Daphnia pulex: one gene and its partners. The protein of the gene in region 2 binds, or shares a complex with, the protein of the main gene of each other region. Links are inferred from orthologs where the notes say so. Each region holds a gene or a part of one and is shown on either strand. Other genes may lie near its edges.

Region 1 (3,792 bases), on a different chromosome or scaffold from region 2:
GATCGTCGTCAAGCGCCACTTGCTCGGTCTACACACGTCAAGAATGGCTGATATGCTGAACATTTCGCTGGTAAACGAATTGAATTATGAAGATTTCATCAGTCGATTCGGTAATGTAGTTGAACATTGTTCAATTTGCGCGGCGGCAATTTGGCGTAATCGCCCATTTCGTGACGTTCATCATCTCCACCAAGAAATTTGCTCGTTTTTGGACCTCCTTCCGGACACAGGTTAGAACTATTTAGTTACAGGCTGCTTGAATGCTTATTTATAGCCAATCAATTGAACATTTGTTTTCTCATTTGATAGGTAAAGAGGGGGTGCTAAGACTTCACCCTGATTTGGCTGGCAGGCTAGCTGAACTTGGCAGCCTAACACAGGAGAGTACTGCTGAACAGAAAGCTGCTGGTTTAGACACAATGACACCTGGTGAAAAACAACTGCTAGGAGAGACCAACATCAAGTATGACAAATTACTGTTCTATAACTATATAGTAACTAATGAGCTGTGTCTTTTGGGCTATTATTTTAATAGATACAGAGAAAAGTTTGGATTTCCTTTTGTTATCTGTGCCAGGCAGAACAAGAAGGAAGCAATCTTGAAAGGAATAGTTGAGAGATTGGAACACTCAGCTGCTGAAGAACTAAACATTGGGATTGAAGAAGTGAAGAAAATCTGCCTTTTGAGGTTGTTGAGTATAGTAACTGATGACAAATCTCGTAATATGTAGAGATTTTCCACTCGCTCCCATCAGTTGAGGTCAACAGCAGCTATTCCATTCTAAACATTCTCACTCAAAACAAGTCTTCCAAAACATATGTGTTGTTAACATTTTGTCTGGTAGTTTGCAAAAACTCAACACAAAATACAGCAATTTACAAAAATTTGTCTATATTGTCTTGCATATACTTGCCCAATATAAGAGAAGTTTAAAAAGTTCCTTAAACAATAATTATCATGAATCAAACACTTTTCTGGGGTGTTGGCTCATTCTGAACAGTCATCATGTGCTTCTCAGCTTGACTTTGAAGAAGACGAACCCTCTTTCTAGTGTAATGTTGCCAGTGAAGGATTTGTTGATCATCAATGAAGCGAGCACACTGGCCATTCACAACCTCCTTTCTGAAATGCTCATATTGAAGCAAGTCTAGGAAATGCAAACACATTGGGTACCTGGAAAATAATGAAATTGTAATTTCTAGTTAGGGTAAATTGCAAGTGAATTGGTGTACTTCAAATATTTTGCATAAGCAGGCTCCTTCCAATACTGTAAATACTTGATGTAGTTGACAAACGCCGGATCCTTAAAATAGCCACGTTGAGCAAGGACTAGTGTAAACAAGGCATAATGAAAGTGTTGATTTTAAAAATAGACCAAATACTTACAGTGCAGATAATTTGGATTTGCGAAACATTGCACAAATTCTAGTTCCACCTGAAATCGAATCCTTTGTTGTTCATCAGTTTCTACCCATCGGAAAAAGGAATAATAACATAGCAATGAGAATCTGTATTGAAAACGACTACACTTCACGATATATTTACCTCTGGTGCTCATTGCGAAGCAAACAACGAAATAACGTAGTTTGCTTCAACAGTTTTGGAAATCTAGAAACGAGGCAACCGGACAGAATGGAAACGTCAGACAACAACTTGAAATGGAAATTGGAAAGCGTCAACTTTTGCAATTTGTCGTCTGCTTGATCAATTGATGCCATCTAGAAAGAAATCGAGAAAATATTAAAAATTGAATTAACTTAAAAAAATTTTTACAAAATAAAAAAAAAATTAAAACGATTTCAAATTTCATGCCCACAATTTATTAATGTGTGTGGTGGCCTTATCACACAGTTTGATTTCCGAATTTGGATAACATTTTGCGGTTGCGCTGCGCCGTAGGACCCTAATAAACCATGAAGCCGCAGCTGATAGGCTAGACGGCTAGACTATACTAACTTCAGTTTGCACCGTGAGTTATTTTATTTTCCTGTAGGAGGTAAGATCAATAGAAGAATTTAGATGGAATATGGAGTTGAAAAACAAAAATACCAAAATAAAAAAGTCAAATCAGAAAAATTATGAATTCAGCAGGAAAGGCGAACGGAAAAATAAAAAGATGGAATATATTACCGTGTGATTTCCAGTTGTTTCACATATGCGACATTCTACGCCTCCGTTACTATTTTATCGTCCTTTTCCAGAACGGAAATATTTGAAAGTAGGCTAATCAAAAATATTCAACCCAAACGAAATCTGTTGAAATTTTTCTTTGACTTTTGTTCTTATTTTCGCCACTTTTGATCGGATATCCGGTGCGGGGGCGATAGCATTCTACCATGTATAGGTCAGAAATATCATCTTAAAGTGTCATATCTACTCCGTGTATACGTGACATCCGGATAATGCACGCGGCCGTGAGGGCGGTGTATCATGTCTGAGTGCATATTCACGTATTGTACATGTGGTAGGTCTATACTACGTAGCCATCCTCCTGCGCACTCGGCGGATGTATAATGGTTGGTTCTCACCTACGGCCCCGAGTTTTCCGGTAGACCATGCGACAATCAAGAGGATGAACGTATCAATCTTAATTCCCTGGTATTATCTAATAATCGTGCTTGAAATTCCACTCTTCTATGATTATAAGTTCAATCAGCAAAGTGACGTGATTGGAGTAACAAATAGATTCAACGCGGATTTCTGCCGTCGGTCCGGGATAAATGATGGAGTAATATTCCATCATTGATAGCACAGAATTCAGTAGAGCGTAGGTAGCAACAGGTGGCGTGACATGACAAAAATGATCCAGCTGTTGCTGAGGCAGTGTGGGCTTTTATCAATCACCTGCCGCTTATTGCCTGACCCATATCAGCCTTTTTTTTTTTTACCTGAGGAGTTTCAAATTTTCGTGGAAAAGATTCTCATTACATTTCCCCGCCATATTAATAACGCTTTTGCCACTAGGTAGACGAACCGGTGGGCGGTGGCACGTGCGACGGACAATGCCCAAAAACTGACTCCGCCTCGTCTCTATACTTTCGGCAACTGTTGTGATGTTAACCTGCCGTTGAAGGCAATTACAGCAAGCCCCCGATTCCATTTGCGTCACGTCGCCGAGTATATAGCAGTCGACGCAGAGAGGGGGGGGGGAAACAAAAAATTAAACAATGTAATAAACAAAACAAAAGGGCGACGCGAAATCTTATTAACGCAAAATATTAACGTCAAACAACTTGTCGACGCGTCAACGAAAATGGCAATCATATGCAGCCCACTGCTGGGGTACATCGTATTTTTTAACTAGTCTAGTAGACGAATCATCATCTTTCTCCTGAACCTTTTGCTTCAAATGAACTGAGACTAGACATTAATATTTATCTGATCGCGTTATTTACAAAACAGCAAAGCGCATAGCATACAACTTATTAATCTAATGGTACTCAGCAGTAAGCGTGTTATACGTCGTATTAGGATGACAAGTTTCCTACCAGGTGAAATCTTCATTCGTGAATATTCAAGTGAACATCTGATGCGATTTCGCATTCATTATTCAAATATTATAAAGAGTAGTACAAACACATTATATAGCTAGCGCTTTTAGCTGGGTAGCTATATGAAAATTGAGTGACAATTCAAAAAGAAAAGGAATAATCAGAAAACGGGATCAAAGGATTTGGTCGGATTTGATGGTCTTACGAAACGAGTGATGGGAATAAGAATTCATTATGCAACAAACTGTGGGGAATTGAACGACAACGACTAAAAAATAACGGGTGGTTGCGTTATTTTTG
Region 2 (4,174 bases):
CAAACATTATACCGAATTTAAGATCTTTATAAAGTTGTAACACCAAAGCTTTTTGTTTTGGTGTTCGAAATGTCATATTTTCTATTAAGTCCATTTTGTCAAATTCGGAATCAACAACAACTAGCTATTCGAGGGGCTAATTCATTTTTCACTTTTCAGACGACCGCGAGAAGCCGAGAATTGACAGAAGCAGACATCACACGATCGAGAAACAAAGGAGGAACGATTCTCGCAACAACAAAAAAAATTATTCAACAATATTGATATCATATTATTTTTAACATTATGGATACAATTTAATTTAACACTTGCAAAATGATTAAATTTTCTGGTTCTAGTTCCAAGTAGTTTTTATCAATTATTTGCGTAATGCATACTTCGCAATGTCGATAATCAGAAAAACCGTCTGCTTCAACTCTCAAGCTTATCACAACCAAAGTAAATCTTAAAAGCTGCTATGGAAAGATCAAACAAAAAAGCTGGTAAAATGCAGTTCATTAAAAGTTTTTACAACGACCCTTTCAGATGGTAAGTTTTATATAATCCCATTAACTTATGAAACACTCACTAAGAGAATCTTTTTTTATCTTAGGTCGTTGGTGAAGAGCGTGGCTTTGTTCGCCTTGGGAGTAAAGATTGCACGCGAGTGTGTCGACATGGACTTAATGGCTCCTCAAATGCAATAACTACGTTAATTGTCAAACAGTTTAATAATAAAAGCAGAATTGCATAATATTCTCAAAAATTTTTTTTTATTTGACTACATTGTGGGGCAATTGTAATTCATTTATAATTCATCTGGCTTTTGAAACTTGTACTTTCCTCTCCAACTATTTGGCAAAGGAATAAGAGCTGGGCAAGGTAACTGACCAGGTACCTCACAGATGCAATGTCTGCTGCATTTAGCTCCAAAATTAGCTGGGTTTTCTATTTTATCCTCAGCTTTCAGTGTTTCTCTAGATATCAATCAATTAATAATTATTTGGCATTTAATCTTACATAATTGTTTCAACAACTTACTCTGATTTGCAAATAATCCTGCGTACTCTTTCATAGATCTCATCTTTTGACTTGAAATCAACATCCATTAGAACCTCTTCCCCGTTTTCTGAACATGAAATTTGTTACTTATTTGAAAAAAATGTAATATTTTTTTAGTTACCTAAATAACACCGTATAAATGGACTAGGAGTCAAGTTCTTGAAGGTAGCTATCTGAATATTGGGGTTTTTGTACTGTAACTGAGGCAAGTGCCAAAACACGAATTGTCGGGCACCTTCGTGATTTTCACCTTTTGTGTTGTAGTTGATCGAAAATATCTTGACTCTATCCTTTAACACCAACTTATTTCGGTCTAAATACTCCAAAGTTCTTCGGATCGGAGCAGGACCTTTCATAAACGGCATTTTATTATGGGAAAAACTATTTTACTCGACCTAAATGATAATGAGAACTTGAACAAATAATTTCTCAAGCAGACGAACCAACGGAATGGCTAAGTCTTGATAATTTGACACTAGAGGGCTTATGCAACAAACGCAGACGACATTTTTGTGATTGACATTTGGTTGAAGCTAGCAAGCAGCAAGCTACAAAAGCATCACATCAGTTTATGTGAATTAAAACTTAAAAGAGCTTTCTCATAATTTATAACCAAGATGCAGCGTGAAGAGAAACAGCTGGTAATTATATAATTTAAGAATTGAGGTAAATTTTCATCCCAAACTTACAAAAAACGTTCAAATCAGGAAGCCGCTTTGGAAGCTTTGCTTCAGCGAATTAATGACCTAAAGACTTCTATCCGAACTCTGTTATTTCGTTTGGAAAATGAATATGGATCCCTCAGTTGGCCTTCTGTTTTGGATAGCTACGCCGTTATATCTGGCCAGGTAAATTATGCTTAAGACATTAGCAAGTAATTCAGACTAATTTTAAATCGTCAAACCAGATGAATACATTGCTGAAAGTTATGAAGAATGATAAAACTCCACTTTTGAGAAACCTCATAGTTTTACCTCTAGTTTTGAGCCCTGATCCAGATGAGGGTAAAGTTGCACTTACTATGCATACTTGCTGGTATGAGTGATTATCATCAAACATTTATTTGTAGAGCTCAAACAAGCAACAGAAGGGCGTGTTGTGGCCTTTTCACATGACATAACACCTGATATGCTGAGAACAAAACCTGATCCAGATGTGGAACAACGTCAAAATCAATTTGAACAACGTGCTCTACAGGTAAGAATACTTTTAACAGAAATAATAACATAAAATCTTACAACTTCTTTATTGTTAAAGGTTCCACCAGAGACAGCACAAAAGCAAATCAATGCAATGAATAAAGTGGTCAATCATGTTTTGGAGCAAATAACACATTCAAGAGAAGATTGGGAAAATGAAGCTACTGTCCGAGCAAATGCAGCCCACACTTGTATTATAGCCGATACGCACGCTCTGATTGCTGCTGTGGGATTGGGCAAGAACCTTAAAACCCTTCCTACAGCTGCTCCAACTCAACCTGGTGAGTTAATTATGCTTGCTTTGCTTCTAAAATTGCAAAAATTCCAACACATCGTCTTCAATATAAAGGTCCAGGACGCGCACAGCCTGGTCCGGCTCCAGGGAAAACAACAAGTACTATCAAGACAACCATCAAAGCGGCCAGCCAAGCGCACCCATACAACAGATAATAGGACTAGACCAAATACACATTTATTTCATATTGAAATCAGAATACCAAACACGCCTCCCTTATAATATCTCAAATGGAGCACTTCAATCATCGTAAACTGAACATAAACACTCATAATTAACGTCATTAAAAAAGGGGGGGAGGGCGACACGGAATATAATAAGTATTTTAGCGCGGAGAGTTTATAGTCAACTCCTTAAAGCATGAATCGCAAACCCTGACGGGTTTCCGGCTATTACCAACGGCAGTCGATTTACTAGAACACTCGTTGCAAAAGATTTGGCCGCAGTTGCGGCAGTGATGTTTCCTAACCGTTAGATTAAAACCTTTTTGGCAGCTCAGACAATCATTCACTTCGGAATCATCCGCCCACTTTCGGCCCTGCAATTTGGCGTTTTCCATCTGATGTAACGAAGAAAACCATTTTGTCAATTTATAAATGAAAATGTTTGTCGATTTTTTATTTATACCTGAAGACTCTGATTTTCTCGGCCGAGTTCGTGTAAAGCAGCTTGCGAATCTTCTAGGCGACGACGTAGTTCAGCAGCGTTGAACTTAAGTCTGTCCACTTCATTCTCCCATTGATTGCAATTGTTTTGCAGTTCTGTTTTTCCCTCCTCCAGCAACGCTACCCGAGTTTCAAGCTCTGCATTGGAAATTGATTTAAGCACCATTAAAAACAAAACCCAAATTAAAAAAAAAAAAAATCATACCAATCTTAAGTGTGTGATATTTCTCTGCCGATGCCTGTAACTCTTCACAGCGCTGATAGCGGGTTGCCGATAGGTCTTCAGCTTCACTTAAATTACCCTTCAGCGCCTTAATTTCTTCTTCTAGCTTCGTCTGTTTTTCTAACCACGCACTATTTTCCTTTGCTCGTCCTTCCTTGGCTGCATTCTGTTGAATCAACAAAGCCATATGCAACAATCGTTTCATGAGATAGTTTAAAACTTTTGATCTCATACCAATTGTTCGATAAGCTGATTTTTGTCTTTTAGCAAACCTTCCGATTCATTTTTGATCCGCTGCAAATGGATGCGATGCTCAGTCGTTTGCTCGTCTAGTTGTTGCTGAAGGTGCGTACTAAGAGTTGCGAGTGAATCTTTCTCACCTCTCAACAACTGCTCGTGCTCACCCCACTCGGCCTTTTCCTACAAAAAATTAACGATCATTGTAAATGCGTAAGAAAACAAAACAATTATTTTCGAAACGTTACTTTAATACGACGTAGCTTTTCTTGTTCGACAGCTTCCGAAAGTGGTTCAAGCTCAGTGACACGTTCCTCCAATCTCTTTATGGTGTTAGTTTTATCAGTTAGTTGGTTTTGCAGTTGATCCAACTGTTTGACATTCTCTTGATAAGTTGACTTTAACTGGCTAAGTTCTGCCTCCAGAGTAGCAATGGTCTTTTCCAACTTTTCTGTGTGTCCCTGGATTTGCTCCAACTTCATTACCAGTTCATTTTTCTCTTTATCTTTCTGGG
Region 3 (4,131 bases), on a different chromosome or scaffold from region 2:
AAATAGTGCTTGGTTCCAAAAACTTGGGAACTTGAAAATCTTGGCAAAGTTCAGGATAATGAGAATCAAGATTGGCAACCTCTCTTCCCCTTGAATCAGTTCCAAGTGCCCTTAAATAGTAAACTTCACTGTTTGTTAGAAAAAAGTTTTCGTGCTCATTTTCAGAAGACCTTTTGATTACTTGATCAAACGGCAGTGTTTTATAATGAAAGTTTTTGGTTAGGAAATTCATTTGCCCTGTTTCAGATACATGAATCTTCACTGGCTTATTCCCAACATTTTGCGAAAGATATTCAGCTGTCCACTTTCCTAGACAACTTCCAATGTCTAATCCTCTGAGTATGACAGGACTTCGTTTGGGATGGATCTCATCAAAAAATTGTTCCATTAGGATATTGTTATAGACGGGAACTGGGCTGACTTTTCTTTCAGTCATTTTAAAATTTACTCTACTAACGAAAGATGATCACGTGTAAAAACTTGCTTTGGCTATAACAATTGAATGTTACCTGCAAGGCGAAATGATAAAACTAATAACTATCGATAGACCGGTTCAATATACAGTTAAATTAACAGCAATGCACTTACCAAAAGCAGAGAATTAACTTCAACGGTATTGTTGTTTCGAATCAACTTTCAAGAGGAAAAATTTGAAGGAAAAATATGTTACAGCGACTGCAGACGGACTAAAACGAATAAACAACGTTGCAATTTGATCTAGATGTTTAATTTAGGTGGATCATCAACATTTATCAACTAAAATACAAATAGAAAAATCTATTGCAATAATTATTTTAAAATAAAAATTCTTAAAAAAAAATAAATCACCGAGATTATGTTTGTCCCAAAACGATTAAAAATAAAACAGCAGACTATTTTACATCAGAAAGGCGAGTAGATCGAATGTATTTTCCACTTTGAATAAACATAAAATAACACAGAATTCACAAAGAATCAATCATTTGACACAGAACACGATCCTCCTCAGTACACCCATTCCCAGAAGTTTGGTTGCTTGCATTGCCTTCTGAAGGTTGAACCCGTTCAACATCTATAAGGAGCTTGATGTTGCCTTCAGTTGGTTCAGGAATTGTGTTGACAGCCTGCTGAACCAATTCCCAAGCTTTGTCAAAATGTCTTCTGAAACGCTCTGCAATTTCCAATCTTTGTCGTTTTTGTTGTTCTAGCATAACTCTAAGAGTTTCCCTTGCTTGATGAGGCCGAAATTCATTGACCAGATGATGCATGTGAATGAAAAGCAAAGTGAGGTCATCAATTTTTGTGGCTCTTGCTTCAGACTCTGGATTTCGTATGCAGATATCAACCAAGTCAAGGAAACTAGCAGTGATGGAGTGATTGAGCTTTTTCAGTTCTCTTCTGTGGTCATAGTTATTAGGGTACAGACGTCGTATATTCTGGAATAGTAAAACGAGTATTAAAGAAAGCTTTGATTAAGAAAAAACTTCTATCACCTGGCTTTCAAGAGGTCGGATCACAGCATCATCAGTATTATATGGATTACCAAACATGGAATAATTGTCTGTGATCGGAGGAGGTGGTCTCGGTGTTCTTCCTCTTTTAGCGTTTTCTTCATTAAAAAGACTGACATATTGCATCGGTGGCAAAGGTAATGAACTAACTTGAGCCGTTTCTGACATTTTTACTTTCCCACTGGAATGAAGCAATATAGTAATGTAAACAATATAGTTTGTTTTCAAGAATGAAGAATGTGACGTTTTCTAGTTCGTTTGCTTGGGGATTTCAGCAGACTATTTTTTGATCAATGTTCTCCTTTTTGTGGCTGTCCCGACACGCCATTCTTGAATGGAAACAAATTTGATTTAGAATGTTGTAAAAGAATTCAATTTTACATTAAATTGTCATTAAATCAATTAATCGTTGTTTATTTTTTTATTTTAAATGTATATTTCCTCGATTTTATCGCTAATTTTCGGAGGAAATTAAATCCGATAATAGTTGTCGGCAACTGCCGCTAGATCTGTCCGAGTTGCCAGTATTTAGAGAGGTTTGGAGAGCTTTTTCTTCGTCCTGCTTTCATTCTCTTCGTACCAGGGTCCAGGGAGAAAGACAATGAACGAAGTTATAACAGCTTTATCAAGTGGGGACTACTTTTTTGATTAGTGATCGTTTTGTAAGTATGTTTAAAAGCTCTGCCAAACCTCTTGCAGGTGAGGTAAAAAAGCAAGGCAATTTAGTGAAACGATCACAGAACAAGAAGAGGTTTAGTTTGATCAACTACAAGAGTCGATGGTTCGTCCTTACCACAAAGTTCCTCGCCTACTACGAGGGCGAATGCGAGGTAAGGTTTAGTTCTACTAAACACGCATGGACTGTGTTCGTGAATCCCTTCATCACTAATTCATCACAACCATCAATTCCAAACAACAGAATCGCAAAGGAAAAGAAAAGGGACGTGTCGACCTCCAAACAGTGAAAGTTGTGGAAGCTGTTGATCCAGCACCTGACACACCTGCCATCGGTCCATTGGCAAACCTTACAGGTTCCATTCCGAGTGATTTGAAGGGATCTCCTGCTTTTCAGATAGTGTACAATCCTTATGAGTGTAATGAAGGTTGTAGTGCAACAGACTTGACTCTTTGCATTTTCACTCCCACTCAGCAAGAAAGAGATATCTGGCTTTGGAATATCCGAGTTGGTGAGAACATTCTCTTTTGACGTCTCAAGTAGTTATGTGTGACAAATAGCAGTATTTATCTCACATGTTCATTTTATCTCATCTAATAATTTATTTTATTTTTCTCCTGATAGTGGTCAAAGACAGTGCTCCTCTTGTGAATGTGTATCACCCTGCCCTGTGGGGGAATAGAAGTTATCTTTGCTGTGGATCAACCCAAAGGTCCACGTCTAAGGCAATAAACGGTTGCCGTTCTGTAACTTGGGCTCCCAATACACTTCAACACATGGGCATCAATTTCAGTAACATCATCCACCATCCGTCTCCCTCACCAAGTCCTGTCGCTAAACCTGCGAATGGGGCTGAAGTCGAGGCGGCCATGGTCAAACCAACGGCGATTAAACCCACGACGGAAATTCATCCGGCAATCGTCGGGGATGTTGTTCCTGCATCCCCTTCCACTTCTCACAACGCCGTTGTTGCGTTAGGTACTATACCCGCTTATGTATCCTACTAAGTGCTAACTAATGATTTACACCCGTTCGTTGCCTGCAATACTTCTAGGAAACAGTAGTTGTACGACTTCTAAGTACATGAACAACAGTTAATGTTGAGTTATTTCGCATCAAATCCTTAGTCAAGGACTTTGGGAGGGAGGGGGATTTAAGCCAATAGAAGCACATTCTAAGAAACTGCGTCGTTGGAATAGATTCAATTTGTTTTCCTTGTAAAAAAAACTAAATGGATAAAGTTATTACATCCACTTCACTTGCGAAGCTAAATTATCGGATAGCTGAAAAGATCAACTAATTATTAGAAAACTAGAGAAGTGAGTGTTGCGTGTGGCGCTGCAGTGGTTTAGAGAAAGAAAACTTGTGTGAGATTGGTACTGGCAATATTCATGAAAATTTTCTCTATTGAAAAATGTTGGGGATTTGCGGTCGGTCGGAGAGAAGAAGACCTAGAGAATGCACACAAGCTTGTTTTTCCCCGAGATTTTTTTATTCCTTTCGGCGGTTTTTAGTTCTAGCCCTCTCCCTGTACTCAGTGGGCACTGACCGCGTCTCTCATAAATCACGTTTCTTTTTCTCTAATGACGAGAAGAGGACTGCACATCTCATCAAGTCCCGTGTGAGAGCGAAAGCAAACGACAAACTGGACTATTCCTACGCGAAAGTGTGGGAGAGATGATGAAGCCAGCACAGCACAGTCTCTCATATCTCTCAGAAAAACAGCCTACGTTTGTTTCATTCAGATACTGAAATAGTTACCTGTCAGTTCGATTAGTGTTGCGCTTGTGTTTACGAGATAAAAAATAACGTGAGAATTATTGATAAGCTTCCACCTGCTGCCTTGGTCCATTGTTCAAATCTATTTTGTTGTAGTGCAAGTTTTGCAGTCAGCTCGCCCCTACCTATTTTGTTTCTCTAGTTTCAATGCGTGTATGTAAGTTTTACGTACATGGCTGATGTTTC
Region 4 (5,460 bases), on a different chromosome or scaffold from region 2:
CTTTAATAACTGCCTGCGAGACACAAAGAAAGGACATTCAATCGCATACCCATACCTGCTAGGCTTGTCTAGGATAAAGTTCTTTGATTAAGTACCTTGACCAAAGAAGTGACCAACCATGTTGCTCCACCAATTTTGAATAGTTGATCAATACCCACTGTTGTGCTATGGTCTGACCAACCATGATTTAAAATCTTATTCCATAATTTGGTTAACTGATGATCCAAACTTTGATCTTGATTCTCTGAGACGCTTTGTAGGGGATTGTCGTCTTGTGCCAGACGCCGAATGATTTGCAGCATCAATACTGACCTTAATGGAAAAAAGAATTTTATAGTGAACGCGAAAAATCATTTGTTAGGGCATTATCGTAATTTACCTTTCCCTATAATGCTCTTTAGAGTCATCAAGATTCAGGGAAGTCATCAAATGATCGAGCATGCTCGTGGGCTTACTTTTCAGATTTGCTGGTTGTACCTAAAGGAGATGTCCACCGTATTTTAATTCGAATCTTTTTGATTTTTTTTTAATTGGATCTTTTCTTACTTGGATGTAAAATCGAAGCCAAGCGGCAGCACAAACAGACAGACAGCACATTTGAGTCCGTAAAGTATCGAGAATCCTTTCAACTTCTTCATCAGAAACTAATTGTGATTCGTAAGCCCCCAAAATTTCCCGTATTACAGCAGGGACGTGGAAACAAGCTTCGTGCCATCGAACGCTCCTATGAATAGAAATGGGCTTATTATTTTTCAAGAAAAAAATGGCGAGATTATTTTACCCTGATCTAAGGTCACTCTCTCCAGATGTCAAGGCTTTCAATAACTGATCAGTCAACATGGGATCGCAGCGACTTAATGACAAATCAGGCGCCTGATTAGGTTTCAGCCATTCTGAAGCCCACTGCTCAAAGAAAGTCTCCCCTCCTAGTTCACCACTCAGTATCACCTATCGATCATTAGAACAAGTAACATCAGAAGGCATTCAGGTGTGAATTATTAGATGATTTTCATTACCTCAATGCCGTACATTTGCGTAATACGGCAGAGCATTAGAAATGAGATGTCAAAGAGTAGAGCCCTTGCATTTGCAGTTTTACTTGGATCGGAACCAGCAGGTTGGCGATTCGCTTCGTTAAATCGCACGAGTTTTGTGGCAAAAGCTCGGAGTTTACCAGTCCCAGTTGCAGCGTTCAGTATGAGTTCGAAGCTTTGCCCCGAAAGCAAATGAGATAAAACTTTCAACAGCGTGTCCTAAAATGAAGATGTTATTACTTGCTCTACGTAATTCTCTACATTTTCCTTGATTACCTGATTTTTAGCGTAATCAGTATCCAACGTTTTCAGAATACTGGCCACCGTTGGCTCAGCACGAAGAACCAAAGTAGCTATTTGTGTGTTAGTGGTCTCTAACTTCAGACCTCCGCGGGATAGACTTTCTCTTTTGCTGAGGATGCTTGTAACATGCCATTCAGATAAAAGAGATGTCCGTATTTTCACTTCATTTAATAAACCTTCGACGACATTGCAATGGCATTTGGCATCGGTTGTTTCTAAAAGTCCAGGATAGCAAAGAAGGCGCTCAAACGCACCCGCGACTTCCGGACTTGGTTCTCCAATAGGCGAATTTGGATCCAATCCTGGATAAACGAGAATTTAATAGAACAGTTTGAAATTTTAAAATATTGCTAATCGTACCAAAAATTGATCGATGAAGTCGGAGTAGTAATGACGGTGCCTTGAGGAAAGTGAATACAGCCCAACGTAGCTCTCCAGGAGAATCAGCAGTTTCGGCTAGTCCTAGGCAACACGCTCTGAGGATTTCGCAATAGAGCTGGGTGGGTGAATAGCCTCTTAGTTTCTGTAGAACTTCCAACTGTCGAGTCAACTCAAGGCCATCTGACGTGGGGCGAAGCAACGCCTCCCAAGATATTAATGTATGTACGTCTGTGCACAATGAGTTCTCGTAAAAGGGCTTTTCGGGACCATTTTCTTTGAATAGATCATTTTCAAATGATCGGCATTGCCTGTGGAGAATTTGTTTTAATGACCACTCATTGACGAAGAACATCAAATGAAGTACCTCATGACTTTTTCGACAGATTCCACAAGTTTTTCTGATGACGGATTCCCATTAGTAGTTAAATTTTTCAGGTTGGACTCAGTTTGGTTTACAAGCGATGTAAGATGAGTTGCTGAAAACTGATCATTAGTGCAGCAACGTGCAATGTATAGAAGAGATATTAAATAGTTCTCTTCATACAAAGTCCCCAGTAATCCTGTAGTATAATGGCAAATGACTGAATAGTCATTGGTTGCACTATTATTATCAAATAGTTTTTTTAGTCCATCAGACGTAAGACTCCAAAGCCAAGTTTCCAAAGACAATAGAGAAGCAGCTAAAGCAGCAGGCCCATCGCCAGATCCAGTACATGAAATATGTTTCTAATAAATAATATTGTTAAAACCATATCTCAATTTAAGACTGAATGGGAAAAGTTACTATTGATTGCTCCACCAAAAGTAGTAACTCCAAAAGGCATCTGGTTTTCTGGATACTACCTTGAAGGCAGATATTTTCGAAAACAGCACTGTAGGAAACAATCTAAAACACACAAATGGTATGCAATTAAATATTAACAAGCAAAACAAAATGTGTTTAGTAATTGAATTAAAGTTGTGGTTTTACTTGAACATGTAATGAATGCTGTAGATATGACAACAACTTTGAATTTGGAGATGGTCCGATCAAAGCCTGCTGTAAAATGCTTTCTGCTAGATTATATGTATCTCCAGTTGATCCTGCTGGTATTACCTTTATGTAAAGAAAGTTTAATTTAAAACTGGTAAAGATATTTTTTTTTGTTACGAAATTACAGTTAAAGTACCTCTTTGACATATATCCCCCACATGAGATCTGTCCAACGTTCCCTCCAAGCCTTCCTCATCAAGTGCTTGAGCTTTTGCTCTACACTTTCAGTCATCCTCTCGATTATAGAAATTTCAAGCTTAATAACCTAAAACACAATTTAACAAACATATGTTGAAGTACGCCACAATTATTCGTTAAATTCTGAAGGTGAGGTGAAATTTTTGAGTTTGTGGTTTGTAGAGGAGCGTTCAAAGCAGACGACACGGTATACCATAAACACCCCAGCGGTGAAAAGTGGAACTACAAATCATTTTGACATTTTCGCGTGGAATTCAAACTACCAGCAGCAACGAATCGACCAATTAGTGTTTTACGTGCTTAACAAACGATCCCCCACTTGAAGGCCAATCCGTGTTCGGTGTTTTCAGAACCAAATCAATTTGACAATTTTAGTATAAAACAAAATAAATCTATGTTAAAACTTTTAGTTTTAACATCGGTTTACGTAACAGAAAGAATTTGGTCGCGGTTAAATGGTACACGAATTTTGTATGTATTTACGGATAGCTTTCATAACATGTGCACAAGAAATTTACCAATAGAATTTGCAGTGACAGGGATAAATTGTATTTATTATATAAAGTACTATATAGTTGCAAGAGGAAGGTCGGAATGAGATTGCTTGTTAGTTGTGACGAATTAAACGGGTTGATCAAACCCGTTGCCGACGTCTCGTCGGTCTCCAGAAAAATCCCCACTTCCCATGCCAAAGTGTCGATCTTCGGAATTATCTCCACTACCGGCTTGATGATGATCTAACGAATCTCCACTTCCAACTTCTTGAGATGATTCATATTCGTCTGTTAGAGGAACAGAATTCACGTTCAACGAAGTCTTTTCCGTACTTGAAGGCTCAAATCCGCTGCCGCTGCTGTCCGTATTTGTTGTAGCTATTCATGTTTAATCAAAATAATTTCAGCCATGACCGTCCGTGTATGCGATGATCAAAATATTACGACTACACCTGGTGGTACTGGTAAAAAGTCACGTTCATCGATTTCCGTATCATCACTCTCGGGTAAATCAGAAGCGATAGAACTCATTTTCTTTTCCATATCCTCATATTTTTCTATCTCCATGTGAGTACCATGGTCTTTTCTAGCTTCCGCTTCTGCCTGTTGACTGCAAAAATAGATTTTTTAAATTTTATTTAAAAATAAATAAGAATGTAAAGACTGAAGAAATTGAGAAAGTAGAACAATCTCCGATTTCTCCTCTTGTTGGATATTTATACTGTGCATGTACCGGTCATTATATGATGAGATGAGAAGCCCGACAATGGTCACGGTGATGATAACAATAGCTAAAATAAGGGCCAGTGTCAGCAATACGATTCTTCTTCTCAAGAACATCCTGGTTGGTGTTGAGTTACTATTTAAGGTAGGCTGGTTCTCGTGGACTATAATTAACAAAAAAAAAAAAAATGGCGTGAGATGTCGTGCTCAACTGCGTTGGAAAATGACATGAATCAATCGACACTTTTATTTTGAATTGTGCGTCATTATTACGGTACTATTTTTTGTGTTTTAGTTTGATTATGAATTCGGGAAATGTTGCAGCGTTCTGAAAAGTGAAATATTTTTTGTTTTGCATACACGCAGAGAAAGTTGGAGAGCCGATGAAGAACTTAGCGCGTGCTAAAACTTGAAAGGTTTATTTTTTTTTATTTTTTTAACGCTTGAAAGAGTCTTGTTGACAGGAGTTGAGAGGGACTGAAGAGAGGTCAGTAATTGCGACTTGTTAACATGGAACCGCTTTGAAGCAGATGATTCGTTGTGTAGGCGATTTGACACACCGAAACAGTTAAAACCAATCTCATTTCTGTGTAGAGCACTTGTAGTTTACGTGCGTGTTTTTAAAAGTTAAGTTACCTAGCTTAGCTACTTGATTCTTCATAATCTTGTCAAGACTTTTGAGACGTGACAGACCTTATAATTCAAGGAAAGTAAACAAATCAAATGCGCATGCAGATACTACGCTGGACTATATCGGCGCCCGTGAAGCTGTAATCTAATCCTCTCTCAGCATGAACCCAACTTGGGAGATAACCCCGGGTGTAAAAGCAATAATAAAAAATTTGTAGCGTGGATACAGATGTTTTCCCTCGATACTTGGTTAAGCGTATAGCACATAACCAAGTGGTGGAGACGAAATACGGGACTCGAATTAAATGTAATAAAGTCTTACACTTCGAATTTCTCTTTCATTTAGGTTAAACGATGTTCGTAATTTTTGTACATTTTGGAAAAATAGGCTGCGTTTTGCGTTACGTTACGTTATGTAAAAGAAAATTGGGGAGAACTGGGGATATTTGTGTGTGGAAAATTTTTTTCAGATCGACAGTAAATATTTGTACCTTTGAATTTTGTTGGGGAACTTTCTTTTTCCGTGTCGGGTGTACCACCACCAATTGTTATTACAGCAGTACTCTCGTTTTGCGCTGGAAATCAAATTATCAAGTAGCCAACGGAGATCAAGTTAAAAAGAATTCTGTTTGCTTTTAATTCGAAATCAATTCAATTCTAAGGC

Evidence for each region. The genes of interacting proteins can lie anywhere in the genome.
Region 1: mediator of RNA polymerase II transcription subunit 8-like (region 2) and mediator of RNA polymerase II transcription subunit 31-A-like share a complex: the UniProt entries of both Drosophila melanogaster proteins name them as parts of the mediator complex. The link is inferred for Daphnia pulex from reciprocal best matches to the Drosophila melanogaster genes MED8 and MED31.
Region 3: mediator of RNA polymerase II transcription subunit 8-like (region 2) and mediator of RNA polymerase II transcription subunit 7-like share a complex: the UniProt entries of both Drosophila melanogaster proteins name them as parts of the mediator complex. The link is inferred for Daphnia pulex from reciprocal best matches to the Drosophila melanogaster genes MED8 and MED7.
Region 4: mediator of RNA polymerase II transcription subunit 8-like (region 2) and mediator of RNA polymerase II transcription subunit 24-like share a complex: the UniProt entries of both Drosophila melanogaster proteins name them as parts of the mediator complex. The link is inferred for Daphnia pulex from reciprocal best matches to the Drosophila melanogaster genes MED8 and MED24.

What each region holds. Positions count from the first base shown.
Region 1 is NC_060024.1:13,244,860-13,248,651, forward strand, and holds mediator of RNA polymerase II transcription subunit 31-A-like, read right to left. Parts: upstream 1,701-3,792; 5' UTR 1,560-1,700; coding exon 1,547-1,559; intron 1,469-1,546; coding exon 1,388-1,468; intron 1,331-1,387; coding exon 1,234-1,330; intron 1,175-1,233; coding exon 964-1,174; 3' UTR 876-963; downstream 1-875. Other genes in the region: 2-oxo-4-hydroxy-4-carboxy-5-ureidoimidazoline decarboxylase-like, read left to right, coding at 44-230, 310-463, 536-731. UniProt on the Drosophila melanogaster protein: Component of the Mediator complex, a coactivator involved in the regulated transcription of nearly all RNA polymerase II-dependent genes.
Region 2 is NC_060023.1:11,386,787-11,390,960, forward strand, and holds mediator of RNA polymerase II transcription subunit 8-like, read left to right. Parts: upstream 1-1,520; 5' UTR 1,521-1,658; coding exon 1,659-1,682; intron 1,683-1,748; coding exon 1,749-1,889; intron 1,890-1,948; coding exon 1,949-2,045; intron 2,046-2,110; coding exon 2,111-2,238; intron 2,239-2,298; coding exon 2,299-2,521; intron 2,522-2,589; coding exon 2,590-2,690; 3' UTR 2,691-2,728; downstream 2,729-4,174. Other genes in the region: protein CutA homolog, read right to left, coding at 13-94; probable 28S ribosomal protein S25, mitochondrial, read right to left, coding at 788-956, 1,021-1,108, 1,163-1,406; early endosome antigen 1-like, read right to left, coding at 2,861-3,094, 3,163-3,338, 3,406-3,589, 3,658-3,843, 3,909-4,174. UniProt on the Drosophila melanogaster protein: Component of the Mediator complex, a coactivator involved in the regulated transcription of nearly all RNA polymerase II-dependent genes.
Region 3 is NC_060019.1:10,646,641-10,650,771, reverse strand, and holds mediator of RNA polymerase II transcription subunit 7-like, read right to left. Parts: upstream 1,795-4,131; 5' UTR 1,659-1,794; coding exon 1,473-1,658; intron 1,416-1,472; coding exon 945-1,415; 3' UTR 876-944; downstream 1-875. Other genes in the region: tyrosine-protein kinase Btk29A-like, read left to right, coding at 2,159-2,320, 2,410-2,677, 2,791-3,144. UniProt on the Drosophila melanogaster protein: Component of the Mediator complex, a coactivator involved in the regulated transcription of nearly all RNA polymerase II-dependent genes.
Region 4 is NC_060019.1:9,366,300-9,371,759, forward strand, and holds the start of mediator of RNA polymerase II transcription subunit 24-like, read right to left. Parts: upstream 3,176-5,460; 5' UTR 2,984-3,175; coding exon 2,888-2,983; intron 2,815-2,887; coding exon 2,689-2,814; intron 2,605-2,688; coding exon 2,503-2,604; intron 2,445-2,502; coding exon 2,083-2,444; intron 2,027-2,082; coding exon 1,698-2,026; intron 1,640-1,697; coding exon 1,311-1,639; intron 1,254-1,310; coding exon 1,017-1,253; intron 949-1,016; coding exon 782-948; intron 725-781; coding exon 547-724; intron 478-546; coding exon 380-477; intron 313-379; coding exon 96-312; intron 14-95; coding exon 1-13. UniProt on the Drosophila melanogaster protein: Component of the Mediator complex, a coactivator involved in the regulated transcription of nearly all RNA polymerase II-dependent genes.